2 linked regions of the Drosophila melanogaster genome follow. The protein of the gene in region 2 binds, or shares a complex with, the protein of the main gene of each other region. Each region holds a gene or a part of one and is shown on either strand. Other genes may lie near its edges.

Region 1 (5,600 bases), on a different chromosome or scaffold from region 2:
ACTCAGATTGGACAAAAGCCTCAGGTGTAGACACGAATGAGTTGAAAAGGTCAAGTAACTAAATATCGCTATTTTCAAAGCTATCATGTACAAATATTTAATCTTAACTGCCAGTTAAAGTGCTGTGCTCAAATTCCGTAGCACTCACATGCTTTATGGAAATTTGTACCCCCACCCACAACTTACCGTCTTTATATTATATCTTGTGTATCGGCACTGTCTTTTGGTTTAATCTATTCACTATATCTTGATTTGTTTGTTCAGGCGTTATCACATAATGTTATTAACCATTCACTTAAGCCCTACGAGTGGAAGCACTTTTTCTGCACATTTACGTCAGAAAGCAACAAAAAATAATAACGCCGCATAAAAACGTGCGAAGCGGTGTGACCGTTATCAGTTCCAACAAGAATGCTAATAAGTACTACCTGAAAGTGTTGCAAAACACGAAACTATAACGGTTTCAACTTTCAAAAGAAAAGCTGAGAAATATCTATAGTAATTTGTCGCACATAGTCCTTTATTTGAATGTAAGTATAAAATGCAATTGAGCAGCTAAAAGCTGGTAGGTCATAAACACTAATGCTACGGGCACATCCCTTGTCTAAGTACAATGAACACTTCTGAGTTTGTTTAAGGCGCACGCGTTTGGAACAAATCAACAACTTAATGCATATGCATATGGCCTGGGCGAGTAAGGGCTGTGTATGGTGGGTGCTCCGGACAGCTAGGAAATGTCTCTCAATGTGTTCGGCTTGGTGCCGTCCATGTCGAAGCAGCGGCAGTTGCACGACGACACGGGGCACTCTGAATTTTGCCTGGCAAATAAACGCGTACATTGGTCAGAATTCAATTAAATATTGGTAACTTTGAACTCACTTGAACCACTGCATGATGTGCTCGGTGTGTCCGCCGTGGCGACAGGTCTGACACCAGGAAAACCACTTTGAGAAGGGCTTGGTCTGCCAGCCGGGCACGTCGGGCGTGGTGGTCGGGGTCTCCCCATTGCTCATGTTCACCATTGTGCCCATGTGCATTAGGCAGAGCGAGCAGCGGGGCAGGGGTTTCCGGCAGCTGGGGCATGAGGAGAGCCTGTTGGTGCTGGTGGTGGTGCTCCGTGGACGCGGCTCGTCCAGCAAGGCGTTGGACACAGACTTGCCGCAAAAGTTGCACGACAGAAATACGGTGCGGGAACTGCGGGAGGATGGGCGGATGCTCTCGATCTTGATGTCCAGCTCGGCCCGCTTCTCCCACAAGCCCCAGCTATTGAGGTGATCCAAGTAGCTGGCGATCCAGTACTGGATGCGCTTGTCCTCGAAAAGCTCTTGCCGGAAGTAGTTAATGGCCACCAGGGCTACCGTCTAAGAAACAGCTCAATGTATATCAAAGTTTCTACATATGTTTTTATAGCGCACGCTCACCTGCACATCGAAGCTGGTGTCCATATAGGACTGCAGTATATCGATTCCGTCCTGCGACTCTCCAGTGAGCAACAAGCCATTTAGATCGCCACCATCTATGGCCGCCTGGATTTGCTGCGCAACATAGTCAGCCAGCTTGGTCTCCGATAGATATTTGCAGGCGAAGGCCATGCGGTCTGATAACGAAACGCCTTCCTCTTTGAGCACTGCATCAAAATTGTCCTTCTCCATCGTTAGAAAGGAGAAGACAGCCCTTAAGTGTGGATCGTGTATCTGCATGTTGGCGCTGGATCGCTGATTCCGCCACGTGGAACTGCAGCGATCTGCATTGAAACTGGACAAGGCGATGACGGTGATCCTGTACATGCTGGGATCCCTCATGTTGTCCGCCGCCGACGATAGGATGTTGCAGGCATGGAAAATTTTCAAGTGGAACACGCAGATCATGGCTGCCCGGCTGTACTCCTTGTTTGCATACAACTGGTCTATAAAGCGATCCAGCTCCTGCTCAAAGGCCCAACCGCAAAGTTGGAGGGCCAGGTCGCGCTGCTCACTCCTGCATAAAGATTGGGGTTATCACACTCGTCAAACCACAAATTCATATAAACTTACCTGTAGCATATCAGTTTGTTGGAGTTGTTGATGCCCTCTGGCCACTGGAGCACCTGAGATTCAATGCGGGAGCTGGCCATCAAGGCCTCCGAGGTGTGTCCCAAGTTAATGCCCAAAGTGGCCTTTAAGCCCGTCAGTCGATCCTCGCTGTAGACATTGTTCAAAGTGGACCACACATTTCGCAGATACGGTGTCAAGTGGAGTTCGCCGAATCGCTTGTTATCGGGTTTGATGCCGTAATCCTCTAGAGCGCGCTGACGCGTCTCGTCCACCAGATCCAGCTCAAAGAGTTCCGGTTTCAGCAGGTCCACATTGAAGGGCGAACCACCAGGAGTGCTAAAGTCCAGGGAACTCCCGCTATTCGTGCTGCAGCTGCTCGTGGGCTGCTGCTGAGTGGGCGTGGCCGCAGTGGAAGTCGGCGAGGCGGGTGTGTAGAGCGGACGCTGCATCAGAAGTGGCAATTTCCGGCGATTGCTGTGCGCCGTGTGCAAGGTGGCTGGCAGTCGAAAGTCCAGGATGTTCAGCGCATCTGCCAAAAGCAGAGCTCTCTCGAAATCCCTCGAATGCCACGACAGGCAATTAACAAACGAAAACTTTCCACTGTGCTGGTATCTAGCCGGAAAGGGGCTAATCTGTCGTTTTACGTGGTAGATCTCTCCGGAATTGTCCGTGTCCACACTCCGGATGTCGTAGAGAGTGATGTAGGAGGAATCGCGTTGCAGCGAGGAAAGCAGGCTTGTCCTGGTCGGACACCAAGCGATCTGCAAATGGTTTTTCGAGGACTGAATCTGCCTGAGGGGACTCTTGATATTTCGCGGATCCCACAGAGTGATCACCGAGTCCACATAGCTGCAGAGATAGTTGCCATTGGGGGATACGGAAAGTCCCTGCACTGTCTTTGTTTGAATGCTTTGACAGGTGGCGTTACTCTCTGCGAAAGGGATTTAAAGATTTCATCAGTGAAAGGGCAATAAAGTAATACTACGTAGTTGAAATATAACCAGTCGCATTATGTGTACTCACGCCTCAGATCGAACAGCTTTATCATCTTCTGGCTCATTCCCGCAATGACCGTGCGATGATTTCGATCCCAGCAAATGGAGTTGGCCGACTCGCCGACGCCGAAGAAGTTGGCCGTCTCCTTGGGAACTCCACGCTCAATGTCCCAGATGGTGATGCAGGTGTCATTTCGATGGCGATCGTGTCCAATGGCCAGGATATTGGCATCCAGCTCGTTCCAGGCGAGGCAGGTGCACATGCGCTGCTGACGCGGTGCTACGAGAAATGAAGAACTATTAGATGCAGCTAAGAATCGGCGTTGTCGTCCACCCACTGTACTCCCAGCTGCTGTCGTAGGTGTCCCGGAAGTTGCAAATCCCGACTTTGCCATCCGCCAGACCCACTGCAATTATGGGCTGGTCACTGTGGTAGGAGGCGGCCACGCAGCGGGCATATTGATAGCGCGACTCGTTGGCGAGGTAGTTCACGGATATATAAGGCAGGCGACCTGCAAGGGGGGCGGTTAAGTAAAGTGGCATAATCCCTTGGGGAAAACCCTACTTTTTTGGCTGTGATCATCTTTGCGGCGCACTTCGTATAAATGGATTTCCTGGCCCCAGGATACGAATTTGTCGGGAAAATGTGGAAACCAGCTGAGTCCGTGTGTATTGCCGCTCATCGTGGCCGATTTTCCATCGATGTAAAAAAAAACAATTTTCACTACAGACTAAATTGCGTCGCGTTATCAGTTTGCAAAAACAAAAACGTGAGATAAACACTGCACTACATGGCAAGAAGAAGAGGCGCACACACACTAGCCGGTCGACCAGCTGTTGGCCGCATGTTAGCCAGCACTGGCCCAGTTCGATAATTCGTTTTATCGATAAGCTGGTAGGTGATTTTGTTTTCCTTTTTTTTTTGTAAGAAAGCAAACGTGTTTAATATTTACAACTCCCACTTAAAATGCTGCGCAAAACACCAAAACCTGCAATTTGGAAATTCATCAAAGGAAGTGCCAAAACACTGTTTGTCCTCGAGGCAGTCTGCTTCGCAGCCAGCTACGGCGTTTATTATCGCATGAACACGAATCGAGGTGGGAGGATATTTATATAATTATTTTGATCGTTAATAACAATCCGCTCCTAGAGTTTCGTCAGCATATTCACGAGAACTATCCCTTCGTTTTGGACTATTACTACAAAATTGGTGAAATCGTCGGAGACAGCACAGTGCGACAGGCGGATGCGAGTTATTGGAGTGCTTTGAAGAAAAGCGACTAGAGGAGACCGCTTCCAAAATGCTTAGTAATCCCTACTTTAAGTCCGTTTTGTGGCTGATTGGCTTCGGAGGAATGGGGTACGGCCTAATGGTGTTAACCGAGCCGAACGTCGACAAGTTAGAGCGCATCAAAGCCTCCGTTTCAAGTACCAAACTGAGTGCGGATGAGCAGCGAAAGGCTCTGTTTATGAAGAAGCTCCAGGAGGCGTCCACCACCAGTGCCCCAATCTACAGGTCATCGTCCGAGAAATAGGATAGTTAGGAAGCTTAATCGTCATCAATTTATCAATTTGTTATACTTTTTAAATACAAATGTTAAGCATTTAATCTTAATTGGTTGGGTAGGGTGATTCATTAGAAGAAAATTCGATTCGTACAAGAATGCGAAATAGGAAAAAGGAAATAAAATTACTAAATTGTTAATATTCACGTTTTAAATGTTTACAGAGCCCTTACTACTTCTGTTACTTTTAACATAATCTGTTAGGAATCTTGACCACCCCTACTCGCAGTGCTCGTAAACGTCCGATTCTTAACAGCGAATCTAATCTAAGCGCAATTGCATTTTAATGGTAATTTAATTGCCATTATTGACAGAGTTTATGGCAACGAAGACGCACACAATGTCCGCGGGGGATGTCCCCTTGGTGGCGATGGCCAAGGTTCCGCCGACCATTCAGTTTGAGGCCACAAAGAACTTTCACTCGCACACCGAGCAGAAGGAATTGGACAGTGCTTTCCTGGGCTACAATCGACGTCCTTGGGTTCGCCAAAAGGCTCACAGGGACACACGCCGGGAGAGGGAGATCCTCAACGGTCTACTGTGCTCTACCAGCGTGGAAACGGACTACGCCAGCACCTGTGTGGACAAACTTATTGCCGAGAACATTAACTATCTGGATTTGGCCTCTCTCACCGACGAAGATTTGGAACTCTTCGGGTTCAAGTGTCGAAAGCAACGGCAACAGCTCCTGGAGATGTTCGAAAAGATTCCCAACCAGAATCCCAGTTACGAATACATTTGCAACCATCCTGAAGCCGAAAACTACAACAATCAGATTCTGGGCAATGCTGGCAACCACTTTATGTCCCTGCGCGCTTCTTTAGCGGCCACCAACTACAAGCTGCAGGTCTCCACTCCCGAGGACGTCGTGGTGGGCGACAAACGATATGCCAGCTGCTTTGCCCAGGAAACTCTAAAAAGCGTGAATCAGATCACCGAAGAGATTGCCAAGGATCTCGCGAAAATCGAAGCTAATGCCCAGAACGCAAGGAGCCAGAAGAAAGTGC
Region 2 (4,313 bases):
GCTGTGGAGTTCAAGGACAACTCCATGCTGCCGCTTTCTGCGCGAACTTCCGGGTGAGGCAGCTTAATCTTTACAATCGCACGCAGGCAAAGGCACTGGGTTTAGCGGACCAACTGCGGCAGAAATTGAACACCGAGAGCGGAACCCAGATTACTGTATGTCCAAGTCCTCACGAAGCTTGCCAGGATGCCGATATCATCTGCATCGCCACGTACTCCAAGGAGCCGCTTATCCAGTTGGCAGATCTGAAATCCAAACGGGCTGTTCATATTAACGGTAGGTCTGCTGTTATAATGGAATGCTGGATGGATGATGATGACCTACCCTTTATAACTTTCGATTTCAGCTGTGGGAGCCGGCGAAGTTCACTTTTCGGAGGTGGCTCCAAAGATTTACCAGCAGGCCAAGGTCTACGTGGATTGCTATGCCAATGCCGAGGCTGAATTGGTGGGATTACCTGCGCCGATCACCGCTGAAGTGGGTCAGATCATTCTGGATGGAAACTATCCCAAGGAGCTAGAAATCAGCATCTTTCAATCCATGGGTGCGTTTTTATTAAGTTTGTGTAACTATATGACTATCTCTGTCTGTTTCAAAGTTGTATCATTAAAAATTTCATACATTTCCTATTTAAGGCATGGCCTCGGAGGACGCCTGTGTGGCCCAGGCGGTTCAGGATTGCATTATCTCTAGCGCAAAGGATTCCTGATTGCTGTCCAGCTGGCAAAGCGATTCCGGAACCAGCCCAAGCCAAACCAGTGAATTCTTAAACTTTAATGTGTATATGCGCGTATATAAAAAAGCATTTGGAAACATAACAATCGGTTCGCTTACAAACTACAACAAACCCAACTGGCCGGAGAAGTCCTTCCGGTCGTCACTTCCAGATCACAGTCACATTCGTGTCCTTCTCGATATCCCGCTCGATGGTGCAGGGCGAGAGGCCCGTCTTGCAGCAGATCTCGTCAAAGCTGATCAGCCCGGTGTACATCTTCTGCCGCCCGGAAGGCACTGAGCCCGTAAACACCGGGTACTTGTGGATGCAGCGAATGAATCGGTGCTGCAGCCCGAAGATCACCATGCGACGCTCATCGATGTTGTGGTGCTGGGGGCACAATCTCTGGCAGATCGCTCGCAGAGTAACGCCGTGAGTCATCGAGGCGTAGAACTGAAAGATGCGCTGAACACTGGGCAGCGTCTTGTCCGGACGCAAGGCCACGTATTTCCGGCATGCGCCGCTCAGTGATGCGCTCTGGATGAGATGCTTTAGGTTCTGCGTCATGTACACGTTGCTGTACTTCAGGATTGGCAGCAGCTGAACGACCCCGTAGTAGACCAGATTCTGTATGCACGACTTGACCAGGTCCGTTTCCACGTCCGCTTCGGCGGCAATGCGGGCAACATGGTTGATTCCATTTATATAAGGCAGGATCTAGAGGAAACCATAACAGTCCAATGGGATTACTAAATTATTTACATCGTGAAGATTGTATAACTATAGAATCAGGAATAGTCCGCACCTGTTGTGTGGTAAGGTCCCAGTTGTCCAGCGGAGCATCGCGCAGGTTCGCCAGCAGCAGGGGCACCATGTGATCCTTGACCGGCGGCGGGTCCGGCTTGTGCATGACGATCTTCAGGTATATAGTGTTATCGCCCTCAACAATGGTGGCCACCTTCCGCTCGTTAAGGTCGCGTAGTACAGTCTCAAAGATGTTCTGTAGGCGGCGCTTGTCATCTTCGCGAGACAGGAAGCACGACTCCTCCTCCATCATTATGAGGTACTCGGACAGCTTCTTGACGACCGGCTCGTACTGGACGCTCCTGGCCCGCGAGTCGCAGACAAAGCATAGGTTAAACAGGAAGGCATTCCGTGCGTACTTCTGCTGATCCTGGATGCCCACTGGATAGCCGACTATCTTTACATCCATTGCGTTGACGGTGAGAATGCAGCGTTGAAGATGCTGCTTGGGTATGATGTAAACATTGATAGCATCGAACACATCCTTGGATATGTAGTTATCAGGAACCTGAGGGACGTGGATTTGTTCGAACTATACTGCGTTATCAGCGCTCCTGGGAACCAGCTCACCTGGCAGCTTATCTTGCAGCCCGCCGTCGCATGAAACTCGCTGAGGAAGATGCACCGGATCTTGCCCTCCGTGCTGCCATGGGCACCCGCTGCTCCAGCTCCTGATCCGCCTGCTCCATTCGTGACCGCGCCCGCCGTTGTCGACGTCGCAGCCGTCTCATTCGTATGGGAATGCATGCCGTTCAAAAGATTCCAGTATCACCGCATCCACATCCTCTGCTTCCTTCCGCGGAGTGGACTCCAAAGCTTTAACAGCAGGTGGCACAATCCAATAACAGTGGCGGAATTCGCTGTAATGTTATGGTAAGCGATGCTTTAGTGTGACCATAGCCTTACTGCAACAAATATACTCCAATGCAAAAACCAATTATAACAAATTTTAACAACAAATTAATTCAACACCATTTAATTTGTTGAGTAGATCGTTTTATTCATGTATAAATTATCTGTTATGTTAATATATAAAGGCCAACTGTAATATGCGTAGGTGGGGTATATTTTAGCGCTCGCTCTGCGGTCATACTAAAATTTGCAGAAATGGAAACGTGAGGATTGTTTTGTTTTTATTTAGTTTTTCCATTAAACAGCGAATAATATGCAGATGATAACGCTTCCATTTCAGGATCAATCCCACGTTCTCGTACCTCACCAATCTGGAGGTAATGCAGATTCTACAGAAGATCAAAAGCACCAAAAAGAAGTTCGGCATGCGCAACTTGGCCACGGTTACCTATGAGGTGTCGATTTTTTTAAATATTTAACTAATATATGATAAATTAACCAAACACTTTGTTCCACAGGCACTGCAGTATCTGGAGGAGTCGCCCTGCAAGACACAAACTCGTGAGAACATTATGAATTACGTTAAAGACCTGTCTTCTTATCGTCTAAAGTCCCAAGAGATCCTGCAAATGATCAACGATCCGCCTACAAGTGCACTACACACGCAACTGGTAAGGATTAGTCTATCATATGCCAGAAAGGCTAATTAAGTATATAATAACCTCCCCAGCTCATCGACGACAATAAAGCTCCACTAACCGATGAGGAGAACGAGAAAATCATTCAGCTGAGCTACAAACACTTCCATGGTGGAGAAACCAAAGGCGCTGCTAAGGAAACACCGGCGGAAAAGCCTGCGGAGTCCACTGCGAAGGCCGGCAAGCAATCTGGCGTAAAGCGTAATGCCCAGGCAAAATCCAATCCAGCGGAACAAATAGCTCCAGCGGACAAAACCACGCCAGGTGATGGAGTTACTCCTGCGAATGTCGCTACTCCTTCAAGTGAAGCCACTACTACTACTCCAGCAGAAGAAGCAAGCCCAGTGGAAACATCGTCTTCAGAAAATAATGCTACTCCAGCAAATGAAGCCACTACAGCGCCTGCAACGGATGCACCCACTTCAATGGAAACCAAGTCCAATCCGACACCAGATGGAGAAAACCTCGGGTAGCAGCCGCCAAAATAACCCATCCGCTTATTACGTTTAACGTTTCATATATTTATGTTGATGGAGCGTATAAAATAAGCTAAAAAAAAAGGTAAATTATTTATGTTCGCTTCTGATCGCCCAAATCCTCGATGACGTCCTCATCGATCTCGGCCCATTTTTCGGGTATGACATCGAACAAGTCATCCTTGACGTCACCCTGAATGACGATCTCGTCGTCTCCGGTAACCGAGGAGCCGCAGGCAAATTTCGTGCCAAAGAACTTGGCGGCCACCTTGAGATCAATATCTGGAACAGACAGGGAATGTATTATGCTTAGTTAACAATAAAGCTCATAAGTATATCTAATATATCTAAGTTACATGGTATGGTAATGGCTACTCATAGCATCCAGTGGGCCCGCATCCCCCTCCATTTCCTACTCTATACTCATAATGTGCGAACAGAACCTACCAAAAGTGCTCAATCCTGTGACCACGGTCACTGACTTCTTTTTGCCACGTGCCGCCCGCGAGACGCAGATACGCTTGGGCACGTCCTCTTTCTTCTTGACGCGCAACAGTCCCTTGCCACCGCGTTTCTGGCGCTTCTTGTCGTCATCCGTCCCGTCAGCGGCGGCAGCCTCCTCCTCAATCTTTAGTCGCTCGAAGTCATCGGGCATGTGGAGCTCCAGCCACTCCTTGCACTTCTCGTACTCCGGATAGTACTCGCAGTACTGCGTATAGTGGATATATATATATGTAAATATATGGGCCATATATGATCCCTAATATG

The links. Proteins that work in one complex are often made in the same cells at the same time.
Region 1: Nprl2 (region 2) and mio share a complex: the UniProt entries of both Drosophila melanogaster proteins name them as parts of the GATOR complex.

What each region holds. Positions count from the first base shown.
Region 1 is NT_033779.5:2,215,538-2,221,137, reverse strand, and holds mio (missing oocyte), read right to left. Parts: upstream 3,849-5,600; 5' UTR 3,712-3,848; coding exon 3,594-3,711; intron 3,541-3,593; coding exon 3,367-3,540; intron 3,309-3,366; coding exon 3,057-3,308; intron 2,965-3,056; coding exon 2,034-2,964; intron 1,978-2,033; coding exon 1,422-1,977; intron 1,362-1,421; coding exon 880-1,361; intron 819-879; coding exon 728-818; 3' UTR 513-727; downstream 1-512. Other genes in the region: CG42371 (uncharacterized protein), read left to right, coding at 3,996-4,125, 4,179-4,312; CG15386 (uncharacterized protein), read left to right, coding at 4,330-4,563; daed (daedalus), read left to right, coding at 4,913-5,600. UniProt on the Drosophila melanogaster protein: An essential component of the GATOR subcomplex GATOR2 which functions as an activator of the amino acid-sensing branch of the mTORC1 signaling pathway.
Region 2 is NC_004354.4:16,881,975-16,886,287, forward strand, and holds Nprl2 (nitrogen permease regulator-like 2), read right to left. Parts: upstream 2,392-4,313; 5' UTR 2,267-2,391; coding exon 2,090-2,266; intron 2,028-2,089; coding exon 1,521-2,027; intron 1,433-1,520; coding exon 878-1,432; 3' UTR 710-877; coding exon of another isoform or gene 636-709; 3' UTR 545-635; downstream 1-544. Other genes in the region: CG4872 (uncharacterized protein), read left to right, coding at 1-276, 347-544, 636-709; Polr3I (RNA polymerase III subunit I), read left to right, coding at 2,627-2,634, 2,712-2,826, 2,890-3,042, 3,102-3,542; DENR (density regulated protein), read right to left, coding at 3,640-3,827, 3,993-4,254. UniProt on the Drosophila melanogaster protein: An essential component of the GATOR subcomplex GATOR1 which functions as an inhibitor of the amino acid-sensing branch of the TORC1 signaling pathway.